Linked DNA regions of Lonchura striata. The protein of the gene in region 2 interacts with the protein of the main gene of each other region in a pairwise test. Links are inferred from orthologs where the notes say so. Each region holds a gene or a part of one and is shown on either strand. Other genes may lie near its edges.

The links.
Region 1: the proteins of NUP50 (region 2) and KPNA6 interact in binary tests that used the Homo sapiens proteins (3 or more experiments, as listed by UniProt). The two-hybrid records come from large-scale screens. The link is inferred for Lonchura striata from reciprocal best matches to the Homo sapiens genes NUP50 and KPNA6.

What each region holds. Positions count from the first base shown.
Region 1 is NC_134628.1:972,850-983,164, forward strand, and holds the start of KPNA6 (importin subunit alpha-7), read left to right. Parts: upstream 1-6,065; 5' UTR 6,066-6,128; coding exon 6,129-6,132; intron 6,133-10,315. Other genes in the region: BSDC1 (BSD domain-containing protein 1), read left to right, coding at 319-400, 1,079-1,609, 2,187-2,290, 2,516-2,548. UniProt on the Homo sapiens protein: Functions in nuclear protein import as an adapter protein for nuclear receptor KPNB1. Binds specifically and directly to substrates containing either a simple or bipartite NLS motif.
Region 2 is NC_134607.1:5,817,186-5,827,003, reverse strand, and holds the start of NUP50 (nuclear pore complex protein Nup50), read left to right. Parts: upstream 1-6,041; 5' UTR 6,042-6,068; coding exon 6,069-6,137; exon of another isoform or gene 6,138-7,167; coding exon 7,168-7,251; intron 7,252-9,046; exon of another isoform or gene 9,047-9,818. UniProt on the Homo sapiens protein: Component of the nuclear pore complex that has a direct role in nuclear protein import. Actively displaces NLSs from importin-alpha, and facilitates disassembly of the importin-alpha:beta-cargo complex and importin recycling.

The sequences.
Region 1 (10,315 bases), on a different chromosome or scaffold from region 2:
CCCAAATCCCAAATCCATCTTAAACCCTCTGACCCCCATGTACAAAACCAAAACCTCCCTGTACAGCACTCAAAAATTTTTCCTCTTCTTTGTGACTACTTCTACTCTAATATCTACATTTTTGTGACTTCTTGTTCTTCCTGCAAAGTTGGTAAATCATCCCATGGCTCAAACCCAAAATCACAGCTGTTTGCAGCTGCCTGCCAGGGTCTCAAATGCTTCTGACCTGGGTCTGGAACCTCCAAAAATGCCTGAGGGACATTTTGAGTTCCGACAGGATGGGGGATGTGAGCGTCTGCTGGTGTTCAATTCCTGCAGGATGAAGCCCGGAGGGAAGCTCTGAAGCAGCGAGCAGAGCAGAGCATGCACCAAGAGGAGCCAGGCTGGGAGGAGGACGAAGGTGGGACATGTTTGGGGGCTCTGGGAGGCTTTGTGGAGAACTTGTCATGGGGTGGTGGCTCCTCCTCACTCCCACAAATCCCAACAGGCAGCTCTGATCTCTGCTCTGTGAGCAGTGGTGGCATCAGGGAGTGCCTGGGGCTGTGTCAGGTGCTTGAGGTTGGATATCAGGAAATGTTCTACCCCAGAGGGTGCTGGGCACTGATGAATAGACTTGATTCAGAAGGCTGTGAAAGTAAGACTCCCCTTTATTCAAAATACACCTCTCTTTTATACAGAGCTTTGTAAGGACCAAATCAATTCGTTTTGAAGTGAAAACAACCCAAAGCATTGGTGCAGAGTGCTTGACACACACTGCTAGAACTTAACTATAAACAACGTGAAAAACAAGAGAGATAAAGAATTATTTACATTCTTCCCCAGTTCCTTCCCAGGCTTCTGCCTGGCTAGAAATTCTCAGTTTCTTTCTTTGACTGAATCCGAGACCCACACCCCAGGGAATGGGCAGGGCCCCAAAGCTGGCAGGGCTTCAGGACAGCGCTCTCAGGGGTGCCCAGGGTGAGGTTGTTGGGGTTGGACTGGATGTTCCCAGTGGGTCCCTCCCAGCTCGGGCCATTCTGTGGAATCCAGCTCCCAGCCCAGCTGAAACATCTCTCGCTTCTCTTCTGCCTCCCTACAGAGGAGTTCTTGGGGATGTCCCCCCTGCCTTGTGCAAACATCACATTCCCAGGAGCAGCACAGAAAGAGCCCAGCTCGGAGGGAAACCCCCCAGCTGCTCCCAAGGGTCCCTCGGGGGAGAGCTGGGCTGTGCTGCCCCCAGAGCTGGTGCCAGTGGAGCAGAGCCCCTCGGAGAGCAGCGAGAGCGTGTCCCTGGTGACTCAGATTGCAAACCCTGCCCCTGTGCCTGCCACCCAGCCACAGACTGCAGCTCCTCCCGTGGGCGCCGGCCAACTCTCCCCCAGCCTGCTGGAGGCCACCTTGGAAGAGCAGAGCTCCCTGCCCAAGCCCCCAGAAGCTGCTCAGCCTTCTGCACCTGCCCAGGAATCAGCAGCATCCTTGGAGCCAGCTGGAGCAGAGCTCAGAGAGCTGGAGAGCAAAGGGCAGGGCAGGACAGAGACTCTGAGATCAGAGGAAGGACCCACAGATCTGAGAGTCTTCGAGCTCAACTCGGACAGTGGCAAATCCACCCCCTCCAACAACGGCAAGAAAGGTTTGTGTGGGGCTGGGAACCCGCCGGGAGGGGCAGCTCTGGGTTTCTGGTGCTGAGGGAGAGGAAAGGGAAAGAAATCAAAGGTCTGCTGGCTGAGCAGAGCAGCCCTTGGTCCCTGGATGCCAGGAAAGGCTGTGCTCTGTGGTGAGATCAAGAGAGAAAAAAGAGCCAATTTTATTATTTTATTATAGAATTCCAAAAGGGACAGTGGATTGGAGGGTGTCACCTCTGCCTGTCATCCCTGGGGGTGTCCCTGCTGGGACAATGACAGTCCCCATATCCAAGTCCCTCCTGTCATTCCTTATCTGCTGCATTTTCTGTGTGGCTGGAACCTGACACATCCCAGTTCTCCCAGGCCAGAGGAGAAAATATTTCAGCATCCACCTCTCCCACTGGTCCTGCACCAGCCCTGGCAGTGAGGGAAGCAAGCTCAGTCCATCCCATCTGTGTCGGGGAGCTGTTCCTGGCAATGTGGAGGCTTTCCCTCCTCAGGCAGGCTGTGGTAGCTCTGGGCCCTGGGAATTCCAGGGCTTTGGGGCCAGCTCTGGTGGCTCAGTGGGGATTTTTGTGCTTCCAGGCTCCAGCACGGATATCAGCGAGGACTGGGAAAAGGATTTTGATCTGGACATGACAGAAGAGGAGGTGCAGCTGGCGCTCTCCAAGGTGGAAGTGGCTGGGGAGGTGAGTCAGGAGAGGCAAAACTGCCCCCCAAAAAGCATCACCAAGGCCTCGGGGTGCTGGGATGAGTGTGCAGGTTTCCCAAGGGGAACAGAGCAGGCAAATCCCTGTTGTGGGAGTGTGAGGATACATCAGGTGCCCTGGGAAGGAGGAGCTGTTGAGTTACAGAAACAAACAGCTGAGAACAGCTCAGAAACAGCTCAGAAACGGATTTCCTCTTGCTTGCAGCTGGAAGATGAAGAGTGGGAAGACTGGGAATAAAGCAGCTGCTTCCAGTGTGTGTCACAGGCTCATTTCCACCATCGAATGTGAATCCAATCTCGGACCGGCTGTTCCTTTGTGTGTGACTGTGCTGGGGGTTGCAGTTCCAGGCTGGAGGAGTTCCATCCCTGCAAAAACCTGGGGGCAACTCAAGTCACCCCTTCAGATGCAGGAGGAGGAAGCAGGAGGTCGCTGGCACACAGGAGCCTGACTTCTCCATAGGTCCTAGAGACTGGCCAAGCCAAAACTGACCCTGCCGTGTTAGGGAGAGGCAGAGTGAGGGGTCCCTGGGGCCAGCTGGGCACTCAGAGCCCTGCCAGGAGTGCTGGGTGCTGCCAGGCTGCCAGCTGGCTCCTTCCTTGCTTGTGTGTGCACGTGTAACCTACAGCTGAGAGGATCCTGGACGTGGCTGTGCCTGCTCTGCAATTCCCACCTGGAAAGCAGCACCCAGGGAGGGCCTGAGGGCTGGAGGTGCTGCAGAAAAAGGCACTTGGCTCGTGGCTTTGACCCTGGAAGGAGCCAAACCCCCCTGCCAAACCCTGAGCTTCTGCCTGGCTTTTTGTCTTGGAAGCTTTTTCTCGTGGAAACTCCCGTTTCCAGCAGTTCCTCAAAGAGCCAAGGCCTGCTGCTCCCCACCTTTTGCAGCTGCACCACCTTCCTGCGCTGGGTTTTGTGTCTTTCTAGTGAAATTCTCCAGGCAAAATCCTCGTGGCTTGCTCTTACTGCAGCCCTGCTGGGCTGGCAGTGGTTTGGGTCAGCTGGGAGCAGAACCCCTCGTGTTGGTGGCCAGTTCAGCCCAGCCTGACCCACTGAGCACTTCAACCTCTGCTTGGCCAGCCTGGGGAGAAAGAAGCTCCCAAATGTGGGTGATCCCTGCTGGCAGAGGCCGTGTGTCCCCATCTGACCCCTGTGCCACCCGTGCCAGGCCCTGCAGCCACCACGAGCTTTGCTGTGCTCACTTGGGTTCCTCCTCTGCTTGCTTCACCCCCCTCAGGCCTCTTTTTGGGGGCAGTTTCCTTGTCACAACACGAGATGTTGCTGCTGCACGGTTATCCCAAGGGGACGGTGCCCTCGCTGCTCTCCCTGGCCTTGGGGGTGCTGGGGTGACACTTTGTGCTGCCCTTTTCAGGCCTGGGGGTTCCTTGCTGGGTTTGGACAACACTAAACGAGGTGCACGTGGAAGAGTTGGGGTTTTAAATTTGGGTTTTCCTTCTTTGGGGTGGCTCCTGGTGGGAGCATCCCTCTCCTGCCAAAGCCTTGTGTCCAGCAGAGCCTCAGCTTGTCCTGGCTGGGATTGTGGTGGGCAGGGGACACGGGGGACACCAGTGGGGACCTGGGGCTGAGGCTGCAGCATCCGTGTCGCTTCCTTTTCTTCTTTAGCCGAATTAACCCTTGGGTTGGTTGTGCAATATTCTCCGTTCTCGAACTATTCCACATCTCCCTGAGCCTTTTCTAGCTGGGGTGAGAAACCAGGAGCAATTCTAACAGCTGGTAGTTTTGTAACGACGACTTTCTCCAAACCTTTTGCAGTTAACAGCAATTAAAGGAGTTCTCAGAGTCTCTGCCTGTCCCGGGTGTCCTCATTTCCTCTAGGGTGGGGATGACACAATTTTCCTTTTCTCACATCTCCTTCAGGACAGGGAGAAGAACCTGTGGGAGTGTGGCCCCTGTTGATGGAGTAAAAAAGTAACTCTCCTTAAAAAGGACAAAAGTTTCCTCAATTTGGTTAAAAGACACCTCATAGGACCTTGGGGACCACCTCAAAATTAAGGATAGATGTTATGGTTTGACATTGGCGCAATGTTGGTGTTCTGGAACTAAAGAGAGTGAGTTTTTCTGGGAATTTTGTTAATCACCCCTCTGTGTTCTCAGAGGCGTGTCTACCTTTAATTGGTCAATATTTAAATTGAACTCTTCTTTCCGGGAAAATTCTTTTCCCGTGTCAAACCACGACAAGTAGACAATTGGACAGAAGCCGAAAAGATCCTCGGGGATCTGCTGGGGAATGGCCACGGGAACGGGACACGAGGGACAGCACAGAGGGGACAGGGCAGGAGAGAGCACGGGTGACAGGACAGAAGTGATGGGACACGAGTGACAGGACACGAGTGACAGAACCCGAGCGGCAGGACAGAGGTGACAAAATGCGAGGACATGAATGACAGGACAGAGGTGACAAAGCACGGGTGGCAGGACACAAGTGGCAGACAGGACACGAATGACAGGACAGAGGTGACAGGACACGGGTGAAAGGACACGGGTGGCAGGACACGAGTGACAATACATGGGTGCCAGGACAGAGGTGACAAAACATGGATGACAGGACACGGGTGGCAGGACACGGCTTACAAAACACGAGTGACAGGACACGAGTGGCAGGACATGGGTGACAAGACAGAGGTGACAAAACACGAGTGACAGGACATGAGTGGCAGGACACGAGTGACAGGACAGTGGTGACAAAACATAGGTGACAGGACACGGGTTCCAGGACAGAGGTGACAGGACACGAGTGACAGGACACAGATTACAAAACACGGGTGATAAGACACAGGTGTCAGGACACAGGTTACAAAGCACGGGTGTCAGGACACGGGTGTCAGGACACGAGTGGCAGGACACGAGTGACAGGACACGGGTGACAGGACACGGGTGTCAGGACATGGGTTCCAGGACACGGGTGGCAGGACACGAGTGGCAGGACACGGGTGCCAGGACACGGGTGCCAGGACAGAGGTGACAGGACATGGGTTACAAAACACGGGTGATAGGATACGGGTGTCAGGACACGACTTACAAAGCACGAGTGGCAGGACACGGGTGCCAGGACACGGCTTACAAAGCACGGGTGCCAGGACATGAGTGGCGGGACACGGGTGGCAGGACACGGGTGGTGGGACACGGGTGTCAGGACACGAGTGACAGGACACGGGTTACAAAACACGGGTGATAGGACACGGGTGTCAGGACACGACTTACAAAGCACGAGTGTCAGGACACGGGTGGCGGGACACGGGTGGCGGGACACGGGTGTCGGGACACGGGTGCCAGGACACGGCTTACAAAGCACGGGTGTCAGGACACGGGTGCCAGGACACGGGTGCCAGGACACGGCTTACAAAGCACGGATGTCAGGACACGGGTGTCAGGACACGGGTGTCAGGACACGAGTGGCAGGACATGGGTGGCGGGACACGGGTTACAAAGCACGAGTGGCAGGACACGAGTGGCGGGACACGGGTGGCGGGACACGGGTGGCAGGACACGGGTGGCGGGACACGGGTTACAAAGCACGAGTGGCAGGACACGAGTGGCGGGACACGGGTGGCGGGACACGGGTGGCAGGACACGGGTGGCGGGACACGGGTTACAAAGCACGAGTGGCAGGACACGGGTGTCAGGACACGGGTGGCCGCCGGGCCGCGCCGCCGGTGCAGTTCCGCCGCCGCCCGCTGGGGGCGCCCGGCGGCCGCTCCGCGCGCACAGCTTTGGCCCCGCGCGGCCGCCGTCGGGCCCGCGCCCCTCCCGGTGCCGCCATATTTTGGCCGCCGCCGCCGCCACCGGAGCCGCCGCCGCCGCGATGGGTGAGGGCCCTGAGGGGCGGGCGCGGCCCGGGCAGCTCCGGGCACGGCGAGGGGATGGCGTGGGGCCGGAGAAGCCGCCCCGAGGCCGGGCGGTGCGCGCAGCCCGCCCGCCCCGCGCCGCCGCCGCCGCCGCCCTCGCCCCTCAGCGGCGTCCCGGGCGCTCCTGAGGGCGGCGGGGCCGGCGCGGCCGCTGAGTCACGGCGGGGTCGCTGCGGGGCCTGGGGGGGTCCTCGGGGGCTCCCGGGGAGGGCGGCCCGGGGGCTCTGAGCGCTGAGGGCAGCGCCGGCCGCGCCTCCGGGGAGCTCCGGGCTGGGCGGGAGCTGCGGGGCGTGAAGGGTGAGGCAGCCCGGGACTGGGGTGAAATACCGCGGGTTTGGGGGTGCCGGGGTGAAATACCGCGGGTTTGGGGTGTCAGGGTGAAATACCCCGGTTTTGGGGGTGTTTGGGTTGAAATACCCCGGGTTTGGGGGTGTCGGGGTGAAATTCCCTGGCTTTGGGCGTTTCGGGGTGAAACAACCCGGTTTTGAGGGTGTCAAAGCGAAATACCCTGGGTTTGGAGATCCTGGGGTGAAATATCCCATTTTTGGGGGTGCCAGGGCTGCAGTGCCCGGCTTTGGGGGTGTTTGGGTTGCAGTACCCCGGGTTTGGGTGTGCCAGGGCTGTAAGACCCCGAGTTTGGGGGTGTTAGGGTGAAATACCTTGGGTTTGGGGGTGTTAGGACTGCAATGCCAGGCTTTGGGTGAAATACCCTGGGTTTTGGGGGTGCTAGGGTGAAACACCCCGGTTTTGGGGGTGCCAGGACTGCAGTGCCCGGTTTTGGGTGAAATACCCTGGTTTTAGGGGTGCCAGGGTTGCAATACCCTGGTTTTAGGGGTGCCATGGCTGCAGTGTCCAGATTTGGGTGAAATACTCTGGTTTTGGGGGTGTCAGGGTGAGATACCCCGGTTTTGGGGATGCCACGACTGCAGTGCCCGGTTTTGGGTGAAATACTCTGAGTTTGGGGGTGCTGGGGTGAAGCACCCTGGTACTGGGGGTGCCAGGGCTGCAGATTCTGGCTTTGGGTGAAATACTCTGAGTTTGGGGGTGCCAGGGCTGCAGTGCCTGGGTCCAGCTGGCGGGAGCTGTTGGAGCCCAGTTTTGGGGTGTCAGTGCTGTCACTTTGGGGTGTCAGCTCTCTCTGCTCCATTTTCATCCTCCTGCAGCTGCTGGGGCTCAGTCCTGAGCTCCCCCAGAGCTCAGGGGTTCAGGTGAGAAATAAAAATAATATTTCTGAAATAAAAATCCAGCTCCAGCCCTCCGTGTCACTGGGCTGTCCCAAATAAATCCCAGCTCAGAGTTACCCCTTCCAAAAGTTTTTTAAAAATTCCTTTTATTTATTGAATTCCTTTAATTCCTGCAGATTTTTGGTTTGATGTGCCTGATGTGGGAGGTCCCAGCTCAGGGAGGAGGATTTTATTTTTTAATTTTTCTTTAATTTTTTTTTTTTTGAGGATTCCTATAAGAAGACAGAGTTTGAAAAGATGAGTTGGAAAAGCCCAGCCTTGTAGCAGCCGTGTTTTCATTAAAATTGAGTGAGGATCTTCTGGAAATAAAGATTAAAATGTTTCCATTTTCCACCTGCAATGTTGTCTTTTAACCAGGGCTGCTTCAGAAGCTTCATGGCTTTAAAGCGGCGAGTTTAAGTTGGATATTGAGAATAAATTTTTTCCTGTGAGGGGCTGGGATGGATTTCCCAGAGAAGCTGTGGCTGGAATTACCCCAAGCCAGGTTGGAAAGGGCTTGGAGCAGCCTGGGATGGTGGAAGTTTTCATCTCCTTCCAAACCAGGGATTCAGTGAACCTTCAAAAATACTCTGTGATCATTTAAAAATGATCATTTAAAATTTATTTCACTTATCATGATCTCACCAGGAGCTTTTCTGCCTCCTGAGGTGAAGTCAGTGACCAGTCTGTGTGTGGCTGCTGCACCTCCCAGCCCTGCACAGCTCGGAAATTTTAATTTATGGCTTCAGATATAAAACCTGGGCTGGCAGCTCTGAGGAGAAAAATGTCCTGGGGCCTGGTGGGAATGGCTGGAAATTCTTGGGGCTGTTTTATGTGGAGCTGAGAAGTTTGTGCACAGGAGCTTCCCCTTCTTCCCACCCCTGTTAGAGCCGAATATCCTCCCTGTTTGAATTATCCTCCTGTAACTTTATTATTTTTAAACCAGCTAAGGTTGAGTGGATTTTTTTTTTCATGGTTTTAAATCATGATGCTGTTGGAAATTGTCATTTGCATGGCAAAGGAGGAATGAACTGATGACATCTTTAAATGCCTTTTTTTAGTGCTGCTTAACCCGTGGAGCAGCATTAATGCTCAATTCTCAATAAAACCCCCGTTAATGCTCAATTCTCAATAAAACTCCCGTGGCTGATGAATTTTACAGTTAATTGGCTGGTTTGCTTTGTTTGCTTTAGCTCAGCAGAGCAAACATGAACTTTGTCAAGGGGGAGAGTTTGATTATTAAAATCCTGTGAGAGTGAAAGTCCTGATTCCTTCAGGCTGCTGAGGTCCAGGTAAATCTGCTTAGCAAATCACACAGCCCTGTTTGTTTGTGAGGCAAAGCACGTGTTGGAAGGGATGGATTTATTGGAATTTCATATCCCTCTCTAATTATCTCTGAATGTTTCTGGTTGGTTTTAATTGGAACTCTCCTAGGTCGAGTTTGAGTGGATTCAGTTCAAGTTTTTCCCTGGTTTTGGGATTGTTCTCAGCTAACTCTTGTGCTTGATCAGTCCATTTTTTAAAGGAAATCAGAATGGATAAACCAGCTTGAAGAGGACTTAAAGCCCTCAAATTTTGGGCTGAAAAGATCAAAATGAGGAGCAGGAAGCATTGAGAACTGCCCTGAGGAGTTGCTGCCTTCTTTTTCCAGCAGGGCAGGGACATTCCAAAAGGATTCCTAATCCTGTTTGAACCCTGGGGAATGGCAAACGCTGCCTGCCAGTGAATTTCCCCCCAAAGAGAAATTTTCCCCTGTCCCTTCCCCCTCGCAGCGCTGCACATTCCAGCGGTGATCTCACATCCCTGGCTGGGAAACGGGGATTTACCGGCACGGCAGCCCGGGACAACCGGGACAGGCACGGGGACAGCCCGGGACAGGCACGGGGACACGGCCACCCCCTCCAGGACACCTCTGCAGGAATTTTGTGCTGCCAAACACCCCTGGGAGAACAAACCAGACCTGCCCCGGTGTCACACAGCAGAATTTTGCTGCTTTTATAGCAGCTGGGGGAATTCCAGAGTTGTAGGCACAGCCAGAGTTGGGATTATTTGACAGGATTTTTTTTTTTTGTTTAGTTGCTCTACTGTTTAGCTTCATTTCTTGTGTCTTCTGAAGTAAAAAAGTGAATTTTTTCCCTTTTTATTTTTTCTCTTAATTTGTTGCAAAACTATTGGTGACAGTAAAAAAAAAAAAAGTGGTTTTAACTGATTTCTGCTAGCAGCTCAGAGCTGTTCTTTTACACATTAATTCAACTATTTTATGTAGTTATTAATTTGATTTCTATTTAAATAGTACAGATGATTTAGTCTTCTTTTTGTAGGGTTTCAATTTACTTAATAAAGTTGTCCTGGACATTTTTTTTTTTTTTCTAGAAGAGTCCTCTGGAGATGTTAATGATGGGAGAATCCTCTGGGATTTCAGGGAATTGGAGATATATGAGGAATGAGGTGAAACTCAGCAGTTCGCTCCATTTATTTTGTTGCAATTTGTCTAATTTAGAGGAGTTTAAATTATAAATCACCAACTTTATCCCCATCCCAGGGAAAAGTTGGGTGGGAAGGGCCTTTGGAGGTCACCTGAGAGCTGGGAACGTCCCCAGCAGGCACCAAGTGGCATTTTAGTGCTGCTGAAGTTCCTCAAGTGTATTTATTTACACTTGCATAATTCCCCAAGCAGGGAACAGCTGTCAGCCCTGCGAGCGTCCAGAGCCACCTTTGGAAGATTCCCTGTGGAATATTCCCTGTGGGAAGGGACATTTGGGCTCCAAAAAGAGCCCTGGCCCTGACTCAGCAGCACAAATCCTGCAGTGACTCAGCTCCCAGGGTTTAATCAGCAGTGAGGAAAACGTTGGAAGCAAATATTGCATGTTTTACAGAAAATTGGGAAGAGGCAGGCTTGGATTCCCCATCCAGGAGCTGTT
Region 2 (9,818 bases):
AAATGAAAGGTTTTGCATTAAAAATATTCAGTGTGTATTTCAGCTATGGTTAATGCAGACAACATCATTAATGCTGCCCCAGCACCAATGATCCCCTCACTTAGTATTAAACCCTCCTTTTATCTTCACAAATACACCGAAAACCCAAAGCTCTTGTAATCCCAGGTGCACTGCAAACTTTTCACTGCAAGATTTTCAGCAAGATTATCTCAGTTGCCATGCACTTTGTATTGGGATGACTGGCCCACGTGCACCAGCTGTCACAGGCTGCCTGGGGAAAAACTGGCTTTCCATGGACAGGCACCACTGGCACATCAGTCAGGACCAGCTCCTAACACACAGATCACCACTCTCATGAGGAAAAAAGCACCATCAAGAGTCCTTCAAAATAGGAATAATACAGGACTGATGTAGTCATGTTAACAATGGACAACGCAGCTAAGAAGAGGCTTTTTATTAAAGCCTATTATTTGGCTTAGTGAAAATAATAGCTTAACTGCTGCTAAGCCTCTTTCCTACCTGTAAAGCATATTATTTCAAGTATTTCTAGATGTGAAATAAGGGCTTTATTATCTTGGAGTATGAAAAATAAAGTACAAGATGAGAGGAAATCACAATGTTTCTTGATTTTTTTATATTTGAATCACAAGGACTTAGAAAATATCTTGTACAATAGCTATGAATACCATTTTCCTGAAATATTTGATTGCAAGAAAAGCAAATAGCAGTTTCAAATAATTCAGACATCAAATGTAGCACCCTTAAATGAAAATCTCCTTAGAGCCCTCACTTTAACATTTATTTCAAAGTTATTTTCTAAAAAATGTTTGCTCTACTTTTCTAAAGAATTCTGCAGTTTATAATTCTCATTTCAGACAGTTATTATAATGCTATACTCACCGTGTTGACTCTCCAGCCAGCTTGGCTGCCAGAAGAGTTTCTCCCATCTCCTGGGAAAAGGCAGTGGAATCACCTTCTATTTACAGAGCCACAGAAGTGGCCTCACCTGTGTGAATGATGGCGAGAGAAACAGGTGGCAGATTGTGCAGCAGACCTTATCTTAATTATCCCTAATTCAAACAGAGTGTGTTCACAGTGTAGCTGATTATTGAGATGGACAAATGCAATGGCTGCAAACTGAGCAAAGCAAATACCAGACTTTCTTCCTGGCTGGTGTTTGAAGAGCAATGGAAAGATCCAGTTTCATAAATATACATTATATAAACTCTCTCAAATTTTGCATTTATCTGATAGCAAGGAAAAAGTTACTCTTTGGAGTAGGGTGGTTGTGATAGGGGAAATGCCTGGAATCCTATTAAGTGACCCTGGAAAACTCCTTATTTCTTATTGAAAGAACATTTTACAAATAGCCTTTCCCTTCAGCACTGCAAGTGCCCTACTTAAAATAAATAAAAGTTGACAGATAAAGCAATGAAAAAAGCTACACTTCTGGACGAAAATGTGCAAACAGTGGAGAAAATGTTTAGTTAAATAAAAAATGTATTTTAATAAAGAAGACCTTTTTATTTTCCTGCTTCTTACATTTCAACATGATATCTGAAAAATGCACTTTTTATGATTGGCTTTTCGCAAATATTAAATTCAATACTATACGTATTATACTATATTGATTAGAAGTGCTGTATTAACATTTTAATAGTATGTTAAATGTAGTTTTGTAGTTAAAATAGAAACCATGTATGTGGAGTTTTCTTTAAAAGAATGAGATACTCGTTCTTGACTCTTTGCAAATATTAAAATGAATATTATATGTGTAATGTTAGTTATGCTGTATTAATTCTCTTAAGTATTGTGTTAAATATAGCTCTAGGTTATAACATAATGCTAATATAGAAACTATGATGTAAGATTTTTTTTTTTTACTAGCTCAAGAAAAGGGAGAAGATAATTAAGAAACTCTTTGCAGAGATAACAGCGACAGGGCACATAAAGAGGTACTGGCTCCTTACTGGAAAAAACATTTTTCCACCTTCTCTCCCTCTTTATGGAACCACCAGGATTAAGGGGAAGAAGCTGACAAAAAGCAGAAAAAATTCTTAATTTGCAAAGAATTTATACATAATGTATGAGATATATGAATATGCAACAGGCTGTTACTTGTAAGGGTTATTCCTCTGTTCACAAGGCATGGTTTTGGCAGCTCAGTGCCCAAAAACATCCAGACATCCTTAATGCTTTGTTTTTAATTGTCTCGTAGCGTTCTAATCCTCATTGTCCAAATTTTTATTATTCTGATTTTATTACTATTTTCAATAACTATTTTATGACTTTATAAAAGATTTTATAAAAACAAGTGATCAGAGTTTTTCCACAAAAAATGATGAATTACAGAATTCAGAACCAGAGGCTATTTGATAAAAATGTATGTGAAAAACGCCAATCACTTGGTTTTTAAAAATTTTTAAAGTTTAATAATAATAAAATGGTTATAAATATAGTAATACAATTAAAGTAATAAAAGTTTAGAGTTAGGACAATTACAAGACAATAAAAGGCAAAGAATTATGGATGTCTGGATGCTCTCAGACACTAAGTCATGAAAAGCATGACTTGTGAATAAAGGAATAACCTCAAAACAATACACTTGTTGCATATTCATACATCTTTATGGTTATGCATACATTCTATTTTAAACAAGAAACTCTGTCTGTTGTATGTTGTTTCCTTTAATCTCCGTGGTGTTTTCGAGTCTGAGCAAGGCCTGAAGAAATTCGCTTCTTCTGATGAGAAAACAATAGATTTATCTTCTCTTGGACGATTTAGGTGTTCCTCGAATCGAGTATCTCATCCCTAAAAAAACCAAAAAACAACTTCCCCCACATACATAGTGTCTATTTTAACGTTCTGTTGGAACCTAAAACTACATTTAACACACTACGTAAGGGAATTAATACAGCTTAACTTTCTAACATTACACATATAATATTCATTGTAACTTCTGTGAAAATCCAATTATAAAACATTTTTTCACAATGATTAATTATAGAATCCAGAACCAGGGAATATTTGATAAAAATGTATAAATAGGCGAGGAACTTTTTTTATCAGCATGTGCGTGGGGGCGGAAATGTCTGCGGGCAGCCACCAAACTGTATGACTATTTTACACAAAAGGCTGCTGGCCGAGGACGCACCGGTACCTCGCCAGCACGAAAAGGCGGCACTCAAAGACGCAGTTAAAAGCAGAGAATGAAGATTTCCTTCTAACATCCGATTTCTCCCGGCGGCCCCGGCAGGACCTGCGCAGAGCGCGGCCGGCGGCGGAAGCCACACGCGCCTCGGCGGCGCCCCCCGCGGCCGCCGGCGGTACTGCAGCGGCCGGCCGCGGCGGGCGCACGCGCGGTGCGCGGGCCGGCGGCGGGCGCGGCCTTCCCGCTCAGGGCCGCGGCGGCAGCAGCGGCGGCGAGCCCCGCGTGTGCCGGCGGCACCGAGCGGCCGGGCCGGCGGCACCGGGCCGTGCAGCCTCTGCGGACACCCCGCCTCCCGCGGGAGAGCCCCGAGCGAGCGAGTGAGTGGCGCGGGGGTCGCTGCGGTCCGGAAGGCGCGGAGCGCTGCGCGGTGCGGCGAGCGGGCGGGGCGCGGCCGGCACGGGGCGAGCGGCGCCGGGAGCCGCAGCGGAACGGCGGATCCGCGGTGGCTTCCGCTTCCTCCCGCCGGGCCCGCAGCCGGCTCCGGGATCCCGGGACCCGCACGGACACCGGCCCCGCCGGCTCCGGGCCTCGCTGCCCGGGTGACCGCCGAGCCTGGCTAGAGAGCGGTAAACAGGCTATGAAGCTGCTGGGTGTTGTTATCTCTGCAGGTCAGCAGCGCGGCTGCGCTGCGTTGTTTTTAAACGTGTTCAGAAATGTTTTTGAGCGTGATTGGTAATCGAAGAGGAGTCAGGGTGGATATCGGGAAAGGTTGTTCCCGCAGAGCGTGTTGGCACTGCCCAGGCTCCCCAGGGAATGGGCACTGCCCAAGGCTGCCAGAGCTCCGGGAGCGTTTGGACAACACTCAGGGATGCACAGGGTGGGATTGTTGGGGTGTCTGTGCGGGGCCAGGGGCTGGGCTCAGTGATCCTTGTGGGTCCCTCCCAACTCGGGATATTCCGTGATTATTCGATACGTTTCTCAAAATACTTCTATGTCAGCCTGTTCAGAACACGTGCTCCGAAAGCTTCATGAAGTTTGTGAACACCAACCAGATGTAGGTTTGTGCTGGTTCTTGTTTCACGGGATAGAATTCACTTCAAGTTCTCTGTTAGAGTCACGTTAGATCCTCTACAATGCTTTTAAAGAGAAACTGTGCAAACACCAGTGGGTGCAGAGAATCTGGAGCTTACATAGACAAGGTTTTCTCTCTTTTGGCGGGGGACAGGCTCTGTAGTTAATGTGCTCTTTCAATAATTCAAATATTTAATGTAATAATGAAACTAATATATTTAAATTATATTATAGTATATAGTATATTATATATAATATGAATTATATTATAGTATATTATATACTAATATAATATAGTATACTATAGTATATTATAGTATAATATATAGTATATATACATAATATGAATATACGCAGCATATATATACAGAATACCTTTATTTATTATAACTTAAAAATTAAAATGTATTACATAATTTAACACATTCTATATAAAAATTATATAATGAAACAATAATTTAAATAAAGGTGACTTTAAAATAACTTGTTTTTAGCTTTTCAGTGGGTTAGATTGAAATGATCTCCCAGGGGTTATCAGGCAAGGATGTCTACTTTCAGGACAGAGTGGATCAGGGCATTTAAATATGTATACACAAGCCAATCTTTGTCCCTCTACTTCCAGAAGCTCTAGTAACTTGACCTTATTTGTGATATATGTCAGACAAAATTTAGGACTTGGATGTATCATCTCCCAAGACTGCTGTCCTTCTGGATTTGCTGCTCTAAAATGTTTCAATATATAAACAAGATGCCTTGTAACAATATATTGTTACAATTTCTGGCTCTGAAATTCAGCTATTTGTGGTTTTTTTTTTTTTTTTTTTTTTTTTTTTTTTGTCTTTTTTTTCTGGGCAGGTCTTAATCACAAACCCAAGGGGGTTTTGGAAGAGTTTTAATTTTTGTGCTTGTTTGAGATTTAAATTGCAACAAAACTACATATTTCCTTTGGTAAGTTTACACACATTTAGTATCAGAAGATATAACCATAGTTAGTGAAATACATCTTTTTTCACATAAAATTCCTGTACAGTGATTGCTTGCCCGGTTTTTTAGACTGAATCCAGCTACCATGTTTTCTTTTTCTGGTTTTGTACACAGCTCATAAGTTATACGTTAGTAAAATGGGACTGAGAACAGTTACAGACATTCCTTCTGCAAAGCTGATTTTGCTTTACATCACAGAGATAACCAGCAAAATCATGATTTCTTTGCTTACAGTAATTGCTGTAAAATCCATGGCATGACTTATGTGTCCTTTGTAGGAAAGCCAATCTCATTTATTTAATTTTTTTTTCAAATTAGTAATGGACAACCAGTCCAATTTTTTAAAGGAGAGCATTGTCTTCGGTCTTAACCAAGCTCTCTGCTCAGCTGATTCAGTGGGTCCTCATTAGTATTTATTTCAGATGTTATAAAGCAACTCCCTTTTTTCTTGCTGCTTACATAGGTATCCTGAGGTGGCAATGTGGAGTGGAATATGGAATGTTTTAACCACAGCTTTGGGGTTTTTGTAGCCCTTCAGAATACGAGTATATGAGTTATGGTTCCGAAAGGAATTTTTCCATCTGCCAAATAATATTTATCCCATAACTGCACTGTACATTTCTGTTGTTCTTTAAGATTGAATATGGCTGATCACCACAACTTGAATCTCAAGTGCTGTTGGCTGTTTTTGCCACAACACTTGGTTTTCAGTTGTCATTCCAATCTTGACTTGCTTCTATATGAACTGCAGTTCCTGTTTTTTTGTTCTAAGAATACAAATTGAAGATCACTGCCACTTAGAATTTAATTTCTGTGCAATTCTTTCTAGGATTTTTTGTTTCTCCCCAACAAGTGTGGAAAAATGGCAAAGAGAATTGCTGAAAAGGAACTGACTGACCGAAACTGGGACCAAGAGGATGAAGCTGAAGAGGTAAAATACAAATTAGTTCCCCGCTAGTAGCTGTTTACATTTGTTGTGTATCTTGTGCATAAAACCTACAGTAGAACTGGTTAAAAGTTTAGCAATTAAAGATAATTTTATAGAAGTGGATTTTTAAAAAATTATTTCTATAAAGCTTCCAGTTATGCAGACCATATAGCAAAACAGCTTTTAAGAGTAAAAATTTCGTCAGTGGTTCTGGAGAAAGGAACTTAATATTTTTAGAGGGAACCCCAGGCTTGTTAAAATGCTTTTGGACTCTTTAAAAGCAGATTTGATTTCTGGAGATAAATGCTCTGTATGCCTCCAGTATATTTTTTGAGGGTCAGTAATAGCTGATTTTAGAGCTATGTTAATTTTAGCTGAATTTCTCCACACAGCCGGAGGAATTAGGCAAATAGTTGAGTGGTATGTTTCACCTAATTGTAAAAAGACATTTTCACCTTTAATGTCTCATACTTCCCTTATGGCTCATATTTAAACAAACTGGTTTAGTTTTTGTCCAACTAAAAGTATTAAACGCTTAGGCCTGTAAATGTAAAAAAGAAAACTAACTCTTCCAGGAATTTGAATATAAGAAAACTTAATTTCCTCATTTGTTGCAGGGTGGTACTGAGCCATTAGCTGTCTTTGCTAGTGTTTGAACTACAGCAGGCTGCTGGAGGTTGCCTTAGAGCCCACATCTCCATATAACTGTTCCAAACTGTGGATTACTGACAGATTCCCTTCAGCAGAGAGATCTTAGAGCTGTGTTTTAAAAAAGCAAAACAAAACTTACATTATTTGTTTTAATAAAATGGAAATAGCACAAAGAGAAATGTAGTGCAGAACCAGAAAGAGTTTTCCAAGTATCAACTCACCTGCAGGTAGCTGGTAAGCCGATGACAGTGCTGCATTTTAACTTCTCCCCTTGTTTGTTTGGTAGCAGTGTTAGAGTTGTGTTCAAAACCTGATCTTGGCCATCCCTTCATGTTGTGTATTTTGAATATTCCACTAATGATTCCATAACTTCCTCTTCAAGGTGGGAACATTCTCTGTGGCAAGTGAAGAGGTCCTGAAGAACAGAGCTATTAAAAAAGCAAAGCGCCGAAATGTTGGGTCAGAGGTAATGTAGTCACTGAGCATGAGTGCTGGGCTTTTACTCAGTTACAAAACACAACACCACACTCAGGGTTTTACTTCCTTGGGTTTGTAGTGATGCTGAGTAAAGTTATCATTTTGACTCACCGGGTCATATGTGCACATGAACTTTGGCTTTACTGTTCCATGCTAAGAATAAGACTAAGGCAAAAAAAGGGTAATACTAGTTTGACTAGGTGAGCAGGGTGTTCTTGCATATTTGTGAAGTAAAAATAAAGAGTGTTTCAGGCACAGTGTTTTATGCAAATGGGTAAAACAACGTTTTTACTGCTTTACTTGCATTTTTTGTAGAGATGGAAGTATGGAAATGCAAAGTTATTAGTTATCCATACTGGAGGGCTGGGGGATGTCTCAGAAGCTATGTTAGTAAATACCCAAATACTAAGCTGCTCTGAGAATGAGAAACGTGTATTTTGTTAAGAATGCTGCTACTTTTTTTTTCTCCCTCCCTGTCAAGAGCTTTAGTGCTATCTACTCTTTGCACTAGCGAATTGAAAATTGAAAGGAAGCTGGCCTTTGTTACAGGTTTAGTCCCTGTGAAAGCCTTATCCCAGTCCAGCCAAATTGTTGTCCTTTCAGGAATCCTTGAGAAATGCTTTGTTGTGTATATTTTTTTCCCAGACATCCTTTGAACAGGGTATGCATCATGTTAGAAATAGGCTTGGAGCTTTATGTGTTACACAGATTGCTTTAGGACTTGGTGGGACTAGGCACAGTTAGGAGCTAGAGAGCCTTCTCCTATGCTTTTGATTTTCCTTCTTCAGTCCAAGCACTGTAAATGAGGAAGCTGTTTTAGCTCACTAATGCCTTGAGTAGTTTTAGCCACAAATGTGGTAGAGGATACAGTTAAATAAAGGATTGTATTGAAAGGAGGTGATACAAAACATAAATACAACTTGAGCAGGAGAGATTCAGGGGCAAATGGAATAGGAAAAATAGAACAGGCTGAGAAAGGGGATCAGATGGGTTGTAGAAGTAGTCAGGAGACTGGAAGCAGGCTGTTAGAGCTGGTAGAAGGGCTGGTATACTTCAGCTCCAGCTGACAGCTAGCTAAGGACCATGCAGCCCCTCACTTTTCCTCCTAGTGGGATGAGGAGGAGAATGGAAAAAAGGGTGAAAGCCTGGGTTGAGATAAGGACAGTTTAGTGATTGAAATATAATGATCATGATGATAAGGGAACCAAAAAAAGGGAAAGAAATAAACCCAGAAAAAGCAGTGATGCTCAGGATAGTTGCTCACTACCCACTGACCTCATCCCATGCCCAAGCAGCAATCAGCTGCTCCCAGCCACCGCCCCTCCCAGTTTCCGTGCTGGCCATGACATTCTGTGTTCAGGTCACTGTCCTGGCCATGCTCCCTCTCAACCCCTTCTGTCCTGCTTGCTGGCAGAGCATGAGACATTGATAAGCCCTTGATTGCAGTGAGCACTGCTCAGCACCAACTAAAACATCCTTGTGTTATCAACATTCTTCTCGCCCTGAATTCAAACCACACCACTGTACCAGCTACTAGGGAGAAAATTAACTCTATCCCAACCAAAACCAGGACAACAGGCTGGACAAAATCTAAAATGCAGAAGAGATGACAGGACAGCTAAAGTTGTGTAAGAAACTTTGTGAAATATTTACAGAAAGGTAAACTTGCTGATGTTCCTACATGGAGTAAGCAGAATGCTTCAGTGAAAAAGACAGCAGTTTAACTGGAATATTCAGAGAGAAAGGTGGGACTGATCAGAGAGAAACATAATAAAAATGCTTACCTAGGAATGTGAAGCAGAGGACTGTGCTGGAGACCCATAACCACAAGGTCAGATACTGGAATGGACAAGCTTTGCCATTTCTTCAAAAGCAGATGAAACTCAGAAGCAGTTCTCATCTGATGGTTTTCCAGAGACACTGAAAGTTCACTTTGAGTGGTAAAAGTTCATGACCTCCAAAGGCCTTAAAATTGCAGTTCTTTATTTGCATGTTAATTGTACTTTGTCTTTTAGAAACACGTAAGAAACTATACCATAAAATAATACGGTTGCAAAGACAGTGATTAGAACTGGGTAATGAAAAGTTTGCAGATACAGATATTTTGTGGTCAAGTACGGTTTGTCTTTGCATCTTCCATCAGTCACATTGGAGTATTTTGGGTAAATCAGAAGAGGTTTCACAGGTGTTTCCAGAGTGATGAGTGGATTAAAGTATTGGGCTCTTGACTGCCATTGTAAATGCTCAAAGTTGTTGAAAATAAACCTGAAATTACATAATCCTGTGTAGTTAAAGAAAACAAGATACTGTGAATGTCTAATAGGCAGTCAAACACATCCACAGCTCTGAGCAACTTCCATGTATCCACATCCTAGATCCAGTTTATTTTCATACCAAACATCTGAGTCTGTTAAAAACAGAAGCACTGTGTGTCATAAGGAAGCTGTTAATTTTGTTTGCGTAGCTGACACAGTAATGCATGGAATGACATGCTGAACTAGGGAAAAACAAACCAAGGATATCAACAATATTAAGTGGGGACAGGATTTGCATGGA